Linked DNA regions of Arabidopsis thaliana. The protein of the gene in region 1 purifies or fractionates together with the protein of each later gene. This does not show direct contact. Each region holds a gene or a part of one and is shown on either strand. Other genes may lie near its edges.

What was found. Proteins that work in one complex are often made in the same cells at the same time.
Region 2: the proteins of AT5G41970 (region 1) and AGD2 fractionate together in Arabidopsis thaliana (co-fractionation; one large-scale study listed by BioGRID). This does not show direct contact.
Region 3: the proteins of AT5G41970 (region 1) and AT1G76140 fractionate together in Arabidopsis thaliana (co-fractionation; one large-scale study listed by BioGRID). This does not show direct contact.

The regions. Positions count from the first base shown.
Region 1 is NC_003076.8:16,789,235-16,793,796, forward strand, and holds AT5G41970 (Metal-dependent protein hydrolase), read left to right. Parts: upstream 1-1,916; 5' UTR 1,917-1,963; coding exon 1,964-2,230; intron 2,231-2,398; coding exon 2,399-2,545; intron 2,546-2,630; coding exon 2,631-2,729; intron 2,730-2,817; coding exon 2,818-3,009; intron 3,010-3,144; coding exon 3,145-3,264; intron 3,265-3,350; coding exon 3,351-3,422; intron 3,423-3,502; coding exon 3,503-3,727; 3' UTR 3,728-4,027; downstream 4,028-4,562. Other genes in the region: AT5G41950 (Tetratricopeptide repeat (TPR)-like superfamily protein), read left to right, coding at 16-126; AT5G41960 (zinc finger matrin-type protein), read left to right, coding at 526-663, 739-960, 1,055-1,134, 1,236-1,311, 1,404-1,514, 1,608-1,634; AT5G41980 (nuclease), read left to right, coding at 4,531-4,562.
Region 2 is NC_003075.7:16,171,170-16,176,607, forward strand, and holds AGD2 (Pyridoxal phosphate (PLP)-dependent transferases superfamily protein), read right to left. Parts: upstream 3,555-5,438; 5' UTR 3,462-3,554; coding exon 3,379-3,461; intron 3,141-3,378; coding exon 3,064-3,140; intron 2,946-3,063; coding exon 2,878-2,945; intron 2,683-2,877; coding exon 2,566-2,682; intron 2,282-2,565; coding exon 2,219-2,281; intron 2,007-2,218; coding exon 1,902-2,006; intron 1,817-1,901; coding exon 1,766-1,816; intron 1,665-1,765; coding exon 1,344-1,664; intron 1,269-1,343; coding exon 1,062-1,268; intron 972-1,061; coding exon 678-971; 3' UTR 512-677; downstream 1-511. Other genes in the region: AT4G33670 (NAD(P)-linked oxidoreductase superfamily protein), read right to left, coding at 108-277; AT4G33690 (G patch domain protein), read left to right, coding at 4,029-4,197, 4,292-4,574, 4,680-4,968; AT4G33700 (CBS domain protein (DUF21)), read right to left, coding at 5,378-5,422. UniProt on the Arabidopsis thaliana protein: Required for lysine biosynthesis. Catalyzes the direct conversion of tetrahydrodipicolinate to LL-diaminopimelate, a reaction that requires three enzymes in E.coli. Not active with meso-diaminopimelate, lysine or ornithine as substrates.
Region 3 is NC_003070.9:28,569,149-28,575,547, forward strand, and holds AT1G76140 (Prolyl oligopeptidase family protein), read left to right. Parts: upstream 1-1,981; 5' UTR 1,982-2,038; coding exon 2,039-2,340; intron 2,341-2,570; coding exon 2,571-2,790; intron 2,791-2,877; coding exon 2,878-3,078; intron 3,079-3,172; coding exon 3,173-3,243; intron 3,244-3,331; coding exon 3,332-3,494; intron 3,495-3,706; coding exon 3,707-4,300; intron 4,301-4,390; coding exon 4,391-4,771; intron 4,772-4,889; coding exon 4,890-4,965; intron 4,966-5,049; coding exon 5,050-5,113; intron 5,114-5,201; coding exon 5,202-5,337; intron 5,338-5,435; coding exon 5,436-5,549; intron 5,550-5,591; exon of another isoform or gene 5,592-5,638; coding exon 5,639-5,704; 3' UTR 5,705-5,888; downstream 5,889-6,399. Other genes in the region: ECH2 (enoyl-CoA hydratase 2), read right to left, coding at 6,088-6,175, 6,289-6,399.

The sequences.
Region 1 (4,562 bases):
TGAATTGGATAACAGGTTGCAGATTCATGGGAGTCTTTAGATGGATGGCTTGACGCAATTCGTTTGGTTTACACAATTTATGCGAGAGGGAAGAGTGATGTTTTAGCCGGTATTATCACCGGTTAATAAATACTTCATTTAATATGACTATTTTGCTTTTTTATCTGTAGTTTTGTGATGTATTATGATCTTAGCGAAATTTTTTTGTCATTTTCAAACGCTTTTTGGGACCCTTTTTCTTATTTTCATCGAATACATTTATAAAATTACATGTTTACCAATTGTCGTCTGAATTATCCTTGAGTGTGAACTACTGTGTATGTTCTTGTTGTAAAAGAAAACTCCAAACATATACTACTACGGACTTGGGAAACTTTTTAGTACAGCCGTATTAGATGTTGGGCTAATGGGCTTATAAGTGTCTAGGCTTTAACGGCCCATTAAAAATCCGCCTCTCTCGCTTTCTCGTAACCGTAGTCGTGTCCCGGAATCCGGACGATCCACCGAGCTCGAAGCTCAAAAATCATGGCGTCTCTGTCGTGTCTCCCGATTTGCGGACTTTCATCTTCCGCTTCACTCTACACCAAGGCCCGACTACTTTCTTCTTCTTCTTCTTCCCCGTCGCCGCTTCCTCTAGCCTATCCTCTACAAAACCCTAAGAAGGTGATCGATCAAAACTAGCAATGGTTCTCTCAAGATATTTTTCTCAATAACTGGTTCCTTTCTTTGTTTTCTCAGCTATGTAGAAAGATTGAGAGAGTAATTTGCAGAGCGGAGTTTTCACAGGACGCACCACTCGTAACAGCAATTGGTGCGTGTATCCTAAGTTCATTTGTTTTTCCGGTGGCGAAACGAGTCAACGATGAGGAAGAAGAAGAAGAAAACTCAGCGATTGTGTCAACAGATATGAGATTAGCCGCCATGGGAATCATCAGCTTCATACCTTACTTCAATTGGCTGGTTTGTTTCATTTCTCCTTAATCCTTAGTAAATCTCTTATAATTAAATGTTTAAACACTAAACAAATTCAAAATATTGTGATGATTAAATACAGAGTTGGGTGTTTGCTTGGCTTGACACTGGAAAATCTCGTTATGCTGTTTATGCTCTTGTTTATCTTGTTCCTTATTTGAGGTAATTAATCTTGTTTAAGATGCATAATTGTTCAGTCTGAATTTGGTCATCTGGTTGTTCTAGTTTAGTGTTTGAGTTTATATTCATGTTTAATTTGGCAGTTCAAATCTGTCTATTTCTCCAGAAGAGAGCTGGTTACCAATTACAAGCATTGTCTTGGGCATTATTCATGTTCAGGTTCTCATTATTATGTCTTTCTTCTATAATCTGACTAAAACTCTGATTTGCAACGTACTTTGTGTTTCATCTTTTTTTTTTTGGTTGGGTAGCTTGAAGCAAGCATCGCAAATGGGGATGTTGAGACACTTGCATTCTTCAGAAACACATCTGATGACGATTTTTCATCTAAGAAAAGAATCCATTTTAAGAAACATTTCAAGGTAATCTAAGTGTCTTTAGTAAAAGAGAAATGCTTTCAAATTCAATTTATAACTGGACTTTTGATTTGTTTTCTTTTTCTTTTTGCAATGTAGGGAAAAAACAGTGACGATGAAAATTAAGAATAATTCGCAAAAGACACAAAGAGAATAAATGAATATTTGTAACAGACTTTAGCTATTAGCTTTGTTAATGTAATTGCCACAAAATCCGAATTTTAAAAGGTTAAATTTGATGTAGACGAAAACAAAATTATATCTCTTTTGCACATTTGAATTTTTTTTATACACCGCAAACTCAAAGTATTAAATTTGTATTTGAATTTGATGACTGTTATTTGGTAACATGATTAAGAAACAAAAGAAATTTTAAGGCCCATGGGCCTTTACTTTTAAGCATCATATAAATAGGTGGAAGAGGCCCATTTGGCATTTTATCATTTCTTCGTGAGATGATGTTTTCGGTAACGAAAGGTTTAATCAGAAACTTGGCCTTGTTCCAAGTTCGTCTTCCTCCTCTCGTAGCAGCAGTAATGGCTCCTTCAAGCGTCGTTAGGGTTTACTCTACCGCTACCTCTCCTTCTCCTTCTGAAATTTCCGTCAAGAAAGTTGGTACTCATAATGGAAGCTTTCACTGCGACGAAGCTCTCGGCTGTTTCATGATTCGCCTCGTCGATAAATTCTCCGGCGCTGATATCGTCCGTTCTCGTGACCCTAAGGTAACTCTAACAATCCTCCTGAAGTAGCTCTGGCTTAGGAAATGAGTATTAGGAGATTGATTAGTAGCTAGAGATTGACTGCTTAATTTTGGAATTAGGGGTTTTTGATGTAAATCTGGGTTAATTGTGAGGAGGATATGATTCTATGTTGTTGTACGGTACATGTAGATATTGGCAGAACTTGATGCAGTGCTTGATGTTGGAGGTGTTTATGATCCGGAGCATGACCGTTATGATCATCACCAGAAAGGTTTTGAAGAGGTTTTTGGACATGGCTTCAACACTAAGCTCAGTAGTGCTGGTCTTGTTTACAAGGTATTGTAGTGTTTGCTCTCATTCTCACTGATATTTCTATGAATATGTCAATTTCGAATTCTGAATGTTGGTGTTTTACTCTCAGCATTTTGGAAAGGAGATCATAGCTAAGGAACTTAATGTCGAACAAGATCACCCTGATGTTCTTCGGTTGTTTTTAGCTGTCTACAAGAGCTTCATGGAGGTAATTTCAGAAGTTCCTATTGTTTATTCTTCATATGGATATAAGTTCTTGTTTGTTTTGATGACGTTATGTTGCTTAATTTTTACAGGCAATTGATGCTGTGGACAATGGAATAAACCGGTATGATACTGATCAGCCTCCACGATATGTGAACAACACACATCTGTCTCCAAGGGTTGGAAGATTAAATCTGGATTGGATTGACCCTGACCAGTCACAAGAAAAGGAGAATGAAGCTTTCCAACGTGCAATGGCTCTAGCTGGAAAAGAGTTCCTCGAAGTAAGATCTCTTTTATATAACATTATGTGCTTATTAGTTTTTTTATGTCCATTGCAATGGTAGTTTCCTAGAGACATAACATGTTTCATAAAACAAATGTAAGCTTACACTAGTTTCTTTTATATTGTGTTGTAGAGTGTTCAGTTCCATGCAAGATCGTGGTTACCGGCTCGATCAATTGTGATGCAGTGTCTTGAAGAAAGATTCAAGACAGACCCCAGCGGTGAGATCATGATATTGGATAGATTTTGCCCTGTAAGTGTTTCAATACTCGATTCCTCTTGTCCATGCTATTACTATTTGAGTCTAAAGATATTAAACTCTGGTTCTCTTGTGAGCAGTGGAAGCTTCATTTGTTCGAGCTTGAGCAAGAAATGAAGATCGAGCCTCTCATCAAATACGTCATTTACCAGGTACACCTTTTTAGATAGAACCTTTCATCAAATAATGGATCTCTAAATCTGGTTTGAAATGTGAAAAAAAAAAAAAACAGGACGAGAGAGCAAAGCAGTGGAGAGTTCAAGCAGTGGCGGTCGCACCAGACAGGTTTGAGAACCGAAAGCCTCTCCCTGAGAAATGGAGAGGCCTTAGGGATGAGGAACTCTCGAAAGCTGCTGAGATTCCCGGTTGTGTCTTTGTCCACATGAGTGGCTTTATCGGCGGAAACCAATCCTATGACGGCGCTCTATCCATGGCTCAAACCGCACTCACTCTCTGAGCATCAAAAGAATCATTTACCCATTACTCATAGAGAGAGACCGAGAGTTTTGATATTGCCATTATCTTCTGCAATTTCTGTTTCATTGAGTCTTCTCGTGACAAAAAATTTAAGAACTAGATTTGTAGTCTCAAGCTGATTAGATCATATTATATGTTTGCTTCCTCTTGTCCGTTTTCACCTTTGGAGTAGATTTGTAGTAGAGAGCGTAAACAATATTAGCTGAAAACCACAACAATAATGTTCAGTGCTTATCTACACTATACCAGAATAACACATAGCAAAATTAACTTATTAAACTCTTTAGCTCACTGTTTTTATGAATTAAGTAATTTAGAGATCAAGTAACAATCATTTGAATGTTTGTTAAAACTCCATTACTACATTTGGAGTCTTGAGATGATTCAAAATATTATGTCAACCTTCTTCATGTCTAAGCTTCTATTTTCAAAAGTAAGATTAAATATTTACTTATATTTTTGGTGTTTCCATTTTTTTTTTATTTTTTTTTTGGGGTGATATACATGTTATTTCAACTCTAAAAATGTATCTAACCTTATTACTAATATAAGGTTTTACGGTATTTCGACATATAAAAATTAAAAAATAAGAACATCAGTTTATAAATTGATTTTCACTAAACAGAAATATTGTCGAACATATGGAGGGCAATAAACGATCTATATGATCATTGCCTCCAAATCGGAGATTTTTCACTTTTATTCTTCCATTCTTCTCTCTTATTTCAATCGGGTTTGCGTCGAAACCCGAAACCCACTTATCTCTTCTTCTCTGAAGACTCTATGGAGATCTCCGGCGAAGAAGATAAAGAAGA
Region 2 (5,438 bases), on another chromosome or scaffold:
AAATTTTGACTTTAACGATTAAATTAGTCTCAACATTCAGAGAATCAGCAATTAGTATTGAAGAATCAGTAATCTTTAGAAAATATAAAAGAAGAAGAAGTGCTTACGGGGAGGTGTCGAAGAAGTTGATACCGAGACGGAAAGCCTCGCGCACGGTGGCGACGGCATCATCTTCGGCGACTGGACCGAAGACACTTCCGAGCGGAGAGGCACCAAAACCAACGGCGCTAACCTTAAGCCCTGTGTTCCCCAAAGCTCGAAGCTCTATTTTCGTCATTGTTGATAGGATCAACAAAAAAACTGGTTCTCGTTGATGAGAGACGCGAGAAGACAACACTTGTGTTGTGTTTTTGGATATTTTTGCCCACACGGTGGCTCAACAAGCCTAAATTACGAAAACACCCATCCCGGTCCAATTTTAGATTTATTTAACCAATCCAATTTTATATTTTTTTGACGTTCTTCCTCAGTCCAATTTAAATATTTTATTTTCCACACTAGTTCACTTATTTGCACTTTGATTTCGTTGTTAAAATACTTTGCCAAATTGCTTGAAACACTGGTGTCAAAAGTGTCTTCTACAAATTCCAGAAAACAATGGAAACGACATTATTTTAACTCAAATCATGTCATTAAAGAGGGTGATGATGATGAGGAACGATTACAAACAAGGTTCTTCATTTGTAAAGCTGCTTGAATCTTCGACATGCCTCTAAGATGTTCTCTCTGTGACCAAAGGCACTGACACGAACGAACCCTTCACCCCCTGGTCCAAACCCACTTCCTGGAGTTGTAACCACATGAGTCTTCTCCAGAATCTCAGCAAACACATCCCATGAGCTTTGGTTCGGGAAGTGAACCCATACGTAAGGCGCATTCTTTCCTCCATATACATCATACCCGAGAGATGTGAATGTGTCAATGATTATGTTTGTGTTTTCTTTATAGAATCCAATCACCTTATGCATTGCCTGCAATGATTCAAAAGACAACAAAATAAATCATTTTGCATATCTGAACTAGTGGGAACTGGTTTGAGATCTCTCTTTAGCTAAGCTAACCTCAAGTCCTTCGGGTGTAAGGCAAGCAAGAGCACCAGCTTGAGAGATATTAGATGCACCATTGAAACAAGTGCAGATAATCCGATTGAAGTCTTTGGCAACAGGGAAACCGTCTGAATAGAGTAGCTTTTTCGGGATGACAGTCCAACCAAGTCGAACTCCAGTGAAACCAGCATATTTGCTGAACGAAGCTGTCTCCATAGCGACCTGTAAGCGGTTGTACACATGAAGAAAGATGTTGAAAAATGGACCTTTTAATGTTATAATCAATCAGTCTATTACCTCCTCTGCTCCAGGGATTTCGAAGATGGATCGTGGGTTATCATCAGACATGTACATTGCATAGGCGGAATCATACACTATTATAGAACCGTTCTTCTTTGCAAACTCAACTAACTGCGTTAGTTGCTCTCTCGTGGCAGCAGCACCCGTAGGGTTATTTGGGGAACAGAAGAAAATTATATCTGTCCTGCCAACGGTGGACAAGTCGGGAAAGAAGCCATTCTCTGGAGTGCATCTCATGTACTCGATGTTTCCATACTTTTGCACATCAGTGTTAAATTGCCCAGTCTGACCCATAATAACACTGGAGTCCACATAAGCCTGTATAATCCAAAAAAAACGAGACAGCATAGTTCCACGTTAAAATGGAGCAAAAGTAGAGAAGACTACAACTGCAATTTGGTTTCTATATGCCCAATTACCGGATATGAAGGATCCTGAACAGCAATTGTAACATTGGAACCAAACATAACCTGCAAGAAGTGGAATCAAGAAACAGCTGTTCATATTTCTTAATCTTGTATCAATTACAGATGAATAGTCAGCAATAAAACAAACCTGGAGACGTGAGATATCACATTTAGCTCCATCAGAAACAAAAACGTCATCATCCCCTATGCCAAGGCCACCGTAGAATGTTTTCGCAATAGCAGCTCTCAGTGGCTTTTCACATATGTGAAATCAAGGTTAGTTTGGATAAAAACTTAACAGATTAAGCTTTAAGATTTTACATGTAAGAAACAGGTTTAAATCCATCTTCTCTTGAATTTAGCAGCAGTTCAAGACTATCCATAATAAAATTGAAGTGACGTGCAAAGGCAGATAATAAAGAAATGATAACAACGCAATAAGGTGGAAATGAAGGGTGCACTGACCTTTGCACCTTGTTCAGCACCATAACCACTATATCCCTCTATTGTTGACAACTCATGAGCTTTCTGTCAGAGAAAAAAAACATGATTAATCTCTAGAGATTACATGCCTGTGTGAATAGTATAGCAAACAAAAAAACTATGCTACCAGAATAATTTTCATTGTTAGATTACAGAGAAGTTCTCGTTTAATAATCCAAATACGCCAAAACAGAAAATATGTTATACATTTTTGTCAAAATGAACGAAATAATACATGTTAGGGCAGTGTTAGTAAAATCAGTTTAAAATATGCTAGAGCCCAGAGAAGGGCAAAGAGCACATGAAGCTAAGTTAAGATAAGGAGGTACCTTTGCCATAGCAGAAGTGATCACTTCAGGAATTGGCTCAGTTGTGTCGCCTATTCCAAGACTTATAACTTGTGCATCTGGATATTTCAACAAGTGTGCAGACCTTCTTCTTGCAATCTGTTTGCATCCACACAAAAAAATAAGAGAGAGGAGCATTATATACAGAATCAATGAGGATATATTAACTTATTACACAGATAGTTATAATATTTCAGATCACTAGAAGCTTTCAAAAATGTTAACTTGAAATGCCACTCCTTTAGGTATTTGAAATCTTAAATAGTAGTACCAAGAGAGTAACAGGTAACAAACCTCCGGGAATAGGTATCCAGCCTGAAGTTTGGACATGTTTGAATTCCGTGACACTTTGGTCTTATACTCTACATACAGAAAACAAAATCATGTATTGTAAGAAACAGATAAACAGCTAAAAGACGATAAATCATTAACTATGTTACTAATCATTACAGCAAAAACAACATGGAGTAGGAACATTACCGATCTTCTCTTGCGGCGTAGCAACACATTTGCAAGTATTGACCCGTTTTGCCATGGGTAAGCAAGCATTTCGAGTTCTGAAGCCAAAAAGGAAAGCAAACCAATAAAAAAATGAATCAATGATCATCACAAGCAAATGCACTGTTCTCTGGCCAAACAACACCATCCAACATCGACTTAAAAACCAAAGGATTGAAATTTCCAAGTAAATTCATAACATACAATTAATTTCTGGAAATGAATCCAATTTCATATTCATCCTCACTAGATTATATCAGTAGCAAACAGAGAGTAAAAGAAAACAAAACGACGCACCTGAGATTAAAATTTGAAGGGGCTAAGAAAGTGGATGAGGAAGAAGAGATCATCGAAGAAACTAACTGATGGGTCGACGACATTTTTCCTGCTTCGCACAAAGATTTTTTCAGACAAATTTGCAGAGCAAATGAACCATGGGAGATAGTTGGTGAGACTGATAAAACTAGGGTTCTTCTTCGGTTTGGTCTGAGAGGAAATTAATCCGGTTTGTTCCGGTTCGGTTTTACTAGAAATTTTTGGGAATTTTCCAATTCAGTTCAATTTATTTATTTCTCTCTCTGGCTCGGACAATGATTTTGCTCTGCGCCTGCTGGAAAACGCCGAGGAATCGCACGATTTCGTGAAGCTGCTACTAGATATCTGTATCTGAGTCAATTCGATTTCGTGGTAATTAATCTCGACCAATAGGGTTCTCCAAAAATCCCCTTTTCGATTGTTGTGTGTTTACGTAATTTTGTTTGTTTTGCTTCGTTGATTTCGTTGTCGAAAGAACGTAGCTTTAGTGGAAGTTCTGTGATTAAGAAGCAATGATTTAGATAGCTGTAGTGGTCGAATTAAGTTCAACTCCATCTTTGTTTGATCTACCCAGATTGATTTGATCACATAACTTGATTAGGCTTATACTTTTTTGTTTTACCTTGGAGTAGATGGATCTGGAAACTGAAAATCGAATAGCTTCCATTCTTTTAAGAGAAGCAGCAGAATTGAGGAGACAAGCTGAGAAAGATGGCGTCAGAGCATATCTTGAGAAGCCTAATGTAAGGCATCGACCTAACTCTAGATTTCTCACTGCTACAGTTCTTGGTGTTCAGCAAGGTATAATCTTTTGTTGACAGACTTTGCTTCTATCCAACAAAATCTAGTTTTTTTTTAGTTTATCTCTTATTTGTTTCTTCTTTATTCCATTCAGCAAACAAAGCTGTGGAAACCAATGAGATGTGGAGTCTTCGGAGTAAAGAGATTGAGTTTGGTGAAAGGCTCAAAAGAAAATCAAGAGATGAGAGCAGCAATGGTCAAAGTGAGCAGAACAATAGGAGGGATTTTTTAAAGAGATGTACTTCAGTTGATGAGAATGTTACTACTACTAGTTTATCACCATCATCAAGCCGGAGCAGAAGCAAAAGATGGCAATCAGAGGATGATGATGATGAAGGCTTAGGAGATGTCGAGGTTAAGACTTTTCTCCAATCAAGGTATTTCCATTATACTCAGATGCTGCCTGATTATTTCCTTTACAATAATGATCGAATTTGGGATCGGCTTTTGCTGATAAAACTTGTGATTCTGGTCTATGATAGGGTCAAGCGTGGCAGAGGTTCTGTTGGTGCTATGATGGATGAACCGCTACCCTGTCTTCCTGAGAGGGAATTGTCAAGAACTTCTGATACAGGAGATCGGAAGCTAGTGATTCAGCCAGAGCGATCACCTTTATTGAGACGTAGGACAGATTCTTCTTCTTCCGACGAGGAGGAAGTTTACAAACGGGCTCATAGAAAGAGAAAGGAGCATAAGAAGAAACTTAGTAAGAAACACAAGTCAAAAGAGAAGAAAAGGGATAGGAAGAAGAGAAAATATGGTAGGGACTAGATCTTTCCGGACAAAAGTAATTGCCTTTTTACACCGGCAGTGATGTTGTATCCATAAGATGATCATATTTCATTAATTCTTGTATTAGTAAAATGCGAATAAAAACTCTTTGAAGTAAGGTAGAGAGTGACATATCTTAGAGACTAATGATATATAGGTAGTAGAGACAACTATTGGTGTGGCCTATGAGGGTTCAGATTTGGTAAAACTCTTTGAAGAAAGGAGAGAGCGACATATCTTAGAGACCAATGATATATATATAGAGAGAAAACATCTTGAAACCATAGAAAAAGTTGTTGTTCATGCCTACATTGATACACATTCGCCGGACAAGTGACAGTTTGAAAGTTGAAAACAAAGACTAAAGTTTTCGACATTCATAACCAGTTCAGTGGTCATGCACTCTGTGTTAGGAGTCTTCAAAATGGTGATCAGTTTCGTCAAAGATCTCCTCCTGCAACCACAAGCCA
Region 3 (6,399 bases), on another chromosome or scaffold:
ATCAAGACTAATCCGATTGATACATTCATTGTAGGAACTCATCATCTTTTTAAATTGCAACGGCGTTGACAAATGTGAGATTTCAGAGTAGTGGTGGCGTTTGAGACGTTTACATCATCTAGGAAAGGTAAATTATTTCATAAAGAAAGAGGACCCATTACTCCCTACAAGGTACAGGTAGATTGAAGTCATAGGAGAATATGGTAATGAAAAGGAGAATTTACTCTTCCTTTTTATGTTTGTGAAGCCCACACAGTGTTATTATGATGTCTTGCTTTTTTTTTTTTTTAATTTGAATCTATATACTATATAGGAAGAGTGAGTTTTTGTTTGTTTATATAGGAGTATATTTGTTTCTTTATTATCTGATGAGTTGTGTTCAATCCTATAAATGGTTCGAGAAATATCGAGTTCAATCTTAAAATGGAGTATTTTTCTTAGGCATTATTATGACGTTTTCTTTTGTTATAGTCGGAATGTATACATTTTCTGTATAGTCACACTCACATGTTTCTATAGATGTATTTGATGTAAGTGATCTAAGCTCAGTATTTTCAATTGAGGTATATATATGCTGAGTTATTGTTGTCCTTGCGCTTATTTTGATATTATAGGTACTTTGTTTTTTTCTCTTACATTTATAGTTACGTTATAGTCTTATAGACTATTCCCACATTTTTGTGTTTATTTATATCGGTTGTTGACTAATTAGGTTTTAGATGGTACCAAAATGATTTGCAATTCTATGTGGAAATATGAAAGCAAAACAAGTTTACAATACGACTTTTGCCAAGCTCTTAGCATTGTTACGATTATTGGATTCTAACGTTTTTTTCTTCTTTAGGTAAAATGAGGATTTTAATGTTGAGAAAGTAAGCTTCGGATTTATCATGTAATCGTGATGATATGACATTCGATGACTTGGTAGATATGTATAATCCTCGACGTCTCTGTTGTGCATCTAGCATGGTTTATAGGGGCTCATTAAACAGGGTGTAGATTTATACATTTACCATAAGTTTGAAAAATTACAACTCCACGTCAAAGAGAAAATAAAGAAAATAATAAGAATTCAACAAAAACTTTCCCTAGTAACCTCATCATTGGAAGTGTGTCAGTAGCATTTAAATTATCCTTTCAAGGCAAATCTCCAAACTTTTCTACGCGATTTAACTATGCGCGTGACTCCCAAATTTCCTTTCTCGTTTATTATGTAGGTCAAAGTTGCTTTTATCTTGTAATTTTTTTCTTATGTTCGGTCAATTCACTAAAACTCCAGTAATTATTTATCTGTAGTGTAGCGTATGATTATTATTCTGCAAACTCTGCGTAATAGAGACTTTTTAAAAAACAAATGCAGTAGTCCAAACCTACTTTCTAGAAAGAAAAAGAAAAAATGTTCTTTAGTTTCCCTCCTAAACGGTGAAAAGTCTCTTTGTCGCAATTTGTTTACACATATCCTGATAAAACGAGTTTATTGGGCTTTATGTTGGGCTCGTTTATTCAGCAGGTCTGAACCTCAAAACTATATTATAAAGTTTAAGCCCAAAAGGCTTTAAATATGGTATCAACAACATATGCTTATGCTATGCATCATTTTCGCAAACTATGGTGTTGTATGAATTAGTGGGTTGTTCAAGATGTTTTTTCTTAAGCGAAAACCTATTTATACAGTTTGCAATGGATATAAGCTTTTGCAAAGTCTACAAAAGTCACATCTCACCACAAAAAAAAAAGGTCTACAAAATCACATGTATCTTTGGAAAAGTATCCATGCTTAGATATTTCATATTTCTGATCCAATTATCCAAACAAACATGTCAACAGATAAAATTAAAAAAAAAGCTAATCTTTTCAAAATATACAAGTCAAACTGTCAGAATATAACAATTTAGACTAGTTGATAAAAATATATTTTTGAATAAGAACATTTTAGATTAAATTTTGGTACCATAAAATGTTTGATAGAACGACGAAACCATTTTGACATATTAACGGCAATCTCGGGGAAGAAGAAGAAGCGGTAGAGAGAAAACCGATGCTCACAGCGTTTGCAAGTCACGCGCGTTCTCACGTTTTCGCGTTTGTTACCGTCCCAACAATCACGCGCCGCCTCCGTATAAATATCTTACGCCAATCACCTCTCTCCTCTTCTCTTCTCCTAAACGAAACCTTCTCCAATCGACCCAATTCTGTTTCTCGTCGTTGTTATTGTTCGAGCTCTGCGATAATGGGTTCTTCTTCGGTGTTTGGCGAGCAATTACAGTATCCTGCGACTCGGCGTGATGATTCCGTCGTCGATGACTATCACGGCGTCAAGATCGGAGATCCGTACCGTTGGTAAGAGTTCGTTTCCAGCTGCAATTTCTCTTATTATGCTTTTAGGTTTCCGGATGAGAACGATATTTCCAAATGAGATTTTGAACACATCGCTCTGAGGAATTAGCAGACATTGGATTTGACTTGGAGATTGACCTTGAGAGAAATTCCTAAATTGTTCGTGATTTCGTGTGATTTGTTCATTTTTGCTATGATTTAGCGTTGAATTTGTCATTCTGGATTGTTGCTAGGTTAGAGGATCCTGATGCTGAAGAAGTGAAGGAGTTTGTGCAGAGCCAAGTGAAATTGACAGATTCTGTACTTGAAAAGTGTGAAACAAAGGAGAAGCTCCGTCAGAATATAACGAAACTTATTGATCATCCTCGTTACGATTCACCATTCAGGCAAGGGGATAAGTACTTTTACTTCCATAACACTGGTCTACAGGCTCAAAGTGTGCTTTATATGCAGGTATTTGTTGAGATAAAGGCGTTTGTATCAGTGCATACTCTGTTCTAGCTTTGTTTTCTCATTGAATTTGATTGCATTCGGGTTCAGGATAATCTGGATGCTGAGCCAGAGGTTTTGCTTGATCCGAACACTCTTAGTGATGATGGAACAGTGGCCTTAAACACCTTTTCTGTCAGCGAGGATGCTAAGTACTTGGCCTATGGTCTTAGTTCAAGTGGTAGCGACTGGGTGACGATTAAGCTGATGAAAATCGAGGATAAGAAAGTGGAGCCTGATACTTTATCATGGGTATGGTCTTAAAGATGGTACTGACTAGTGGGGTTGATCAATAAAGTTCTACCGTCCAGATTTCTGATAGATTTATGTTCCTCTCGTGGAACAGGTTAAGTTTACCGGCATTACATGGACGCACGACAGTAAAGGATTTTTCTATGGTCGCTACCCAGCTCCCAAGTAAGTACAAGATGTGTTGGAAGAAGCCTTTCGATATAGTTCAGAAAGCTAAGTTGATTTACCAATTTTATCTGTTTTTGTTTTGCAGAGAAGGAGAGGATATTGATGCTGGCACTGAGACTAATTCTAACCTTTATCATGAGCTGTATTACCATTTCATTGGGACGGATCAATCTCAAGATATCTTATGCTGGAGAGATAATGAGAATCCCAAATATATGTTCGGAGCTGAAGTCACTGACGATGGGAAGGTAACACACCAAGTTCTTATGTTGGTTCTTTAACTATGGTTACGCTCTTAAACCTCAAATTTATTTTTTCTGCGCATACTTACGGAAAATCATTTTGATCGTTTCCCTTTTTCTAAATGATGGTCATGACTTCAAACTGTGTTACCTAGTTTTGTAGATCTGGAACTTGGATTCTTAGTTTTAGGTCTAATCAATGTTATTTCTTCTTGTAGTATCTGATCATGAGCATTGGAGAGAGTTGTGACCCTGTCAACAAATTATACTACTGCGATATGACTTCATTGTCAGGAGGTCTTGAGAGTTTCAGAGGAAGCAGCAGTTTTCTTCCATTCATTAAGCTTGTTGACACATTTGACGCGCAATATAGTGTTATCTCAAATGATGAGACTCTGTTTACTTTCTTGACGAATAAAGATGCCCCTAAGTACAAATTAGTCCGGGTTGATCTAAAGGAACCAAACAGCTGGACTGATGTTGTTGAAGAACACGAAAAGGATGTCTTAGCATCAGCTTGTGCTGTCAATGGGAATCACCTGGTCGCATGCTACATGAGCGATGTAAAGCATATTCTGCAAATTAGGGACTTGAAATCTGGTTCATTGCTTCACCAATTACCTCTAGATATTGGTTCAGTATCTGATGTTTCTGCTCGGCGCAAGGACAATACCTTTTTCTTTAGCTTTACTAGCTTTCTCACTCCTGGTGTGATTTACAAGTGTGACTTAGCCAATGAATCTCCAGAAGTTAAGGTATTCCGGGAGGTTACTGTACCCGGATTTGACAGGGAAGCATTTCAAGCCATTCAGGTAACACACTCTCTTGTAGCGTCTTCCTGTTTCTTTCATAACTACTTTTTACTTTGCATATGTTAAAGTGGTTTCTGCTCCTCTTTATAGGTCTTCTATCCCAGCAAGGATGGAACAAAGATACCTATGTTTATTGTGGCGAAAAAGGATATTAAGCTTGATGGATCACACCCATGTTTGCTCTATGCATATGGTGGGTTTAACATAAGCATAACACCGTCTTTCAGTGCCAGCCGTATTGTGCTTAGCAAGCATCTCGGTGTTGTTTTCTGCTTTGCAAACATTCGGGGTGGTGGGGAGTATGGTGAGGAATGGCACAAAGCAGGTTCACTTGCCAAAAAGCAGAACTGTTTCGATGACTTTATCTCTGGGGCAGAGTATCTCGTGTCCGCTGGTTATACACAACCGAGCAAGCTGTGTATTGAAGGTGGCAGCAATGGTGGACTCCTTGTCGGTGCTTGCATAAATCAGGCAAGTTTATATAGCCAATAATTCAGGACAAAAACGAATAATATGAAGCTAATAATTTGTAATTTTCGTCTCATTTAGTTGCCACACTTATACATAAATTTTCAATTCTGCTGCACAGAGACCGGACCTTTATGGTTGTGCTTTGGCTCATGTGGGCGTCATGGACATGCTACGGTTTCACAAATTCACTATAGGTGAGTGAGTTCAGTTATCTGCAATTTGTTTTGTTTGATTTTTTGCTTAATGTAATTCTAACTTGAGGTGTTATGTATGTATAGGTCATGCCTGGACATCTGATTATGGTTGCTCTGAGAATGAAGAGGAGTTTCATTGGCTGATAAAGTAAGTATATGAACTTATGATATGATGTTGTATTGATTTGTTTCCCAATGCTGATACAAAGTTACAATCTGGGTGTGAATGTATAAAGGTACTCGCCTCTGCACAATGTGAAGAGGCCATGGGAGCAACAAACCGATCACTTAGTTCAGTATCCATCAACTATGCTACTGACTGCTGATCACGATGACAGAGTTGTGCCACTTCACTCTTTGAAGTTGCTTGCTGTCCGTTTCCAGACTTTATTTCTTTAATGTTTAATTTATTTTCAATCTTACCTTAAATAGCCAGCAGATTGTTAAAACTCGTATGTATACATCTGCAGACGTTGCAGCACGTGCTGTGCACAAGCTTAGACAATAGTCCTCAGATGAACCCCATAATTGGTCGTATTGAAGTCAAGGCTGGCCATGGTGCTGGTCGCCCAACCCAAAAGATGGTAATGATTTTAGAAATTCTCGTTGCTTAAGCGTTACATCATATAACATACATTTTCCCATGGTTAACTGATATTGAGATGTTCAACAGATTGATGAAGCGGCTGATCGGTATTCGTTCATGGCAAAGATGGTGAATGCTTCATGGACGGAGTAAAAAAAATTCCTTTATCTACAGGCACCAAATATCTTTTCTCAATATCTTCTGTCCAAACAAGGACGTTGTATGAGTTAGTGACAATTACATGTAAACACATGTTTCAGTTTTTTCTCAGGCTTTATGTTCCAGTTCATTGACACCCAAAAAGGATTTTCTTCAATGCATTTTGCTTCATCCGGCATGTGCATTTTGCGTCACTCAACATTTATTACAACAGTAACACGATACAACTAACCATTTCAGTAAATTGTGACCGTCATCAAAGAGTGTTTATTGATGGCTCAATGGCTCATTACGCCAAGCAAACATCAAGAGTCTTCTGACATGTTTATTACCTTTGCAATATTATGACAGCCCAATATATCTAAGGACCTAACATTCTAAAGTGACGAAGATAACCCACGAATATCAACATAACCAGCTAACACAGTTTTGTTCCTTTCCTTCACTTTCGTCTGATATATAACCCTGTGAATACATCAAAAGCTAAGTTCAAGTTTTGAATATACCAGTGATATGGATAATCTATGTAATATATCGCCAAAGAACAATACAAGGTAGAGAGAGAGACAGAGTTCTACCTCAAGCCTTCAAGCCACATTTCGGTTATCAGAGTTTCGCCAGGAAAAACAGTCGTGAGGAATCGTCCAGATATGGTTTTGACAGCAGTTGGGTCACCCTTGCAAACACAC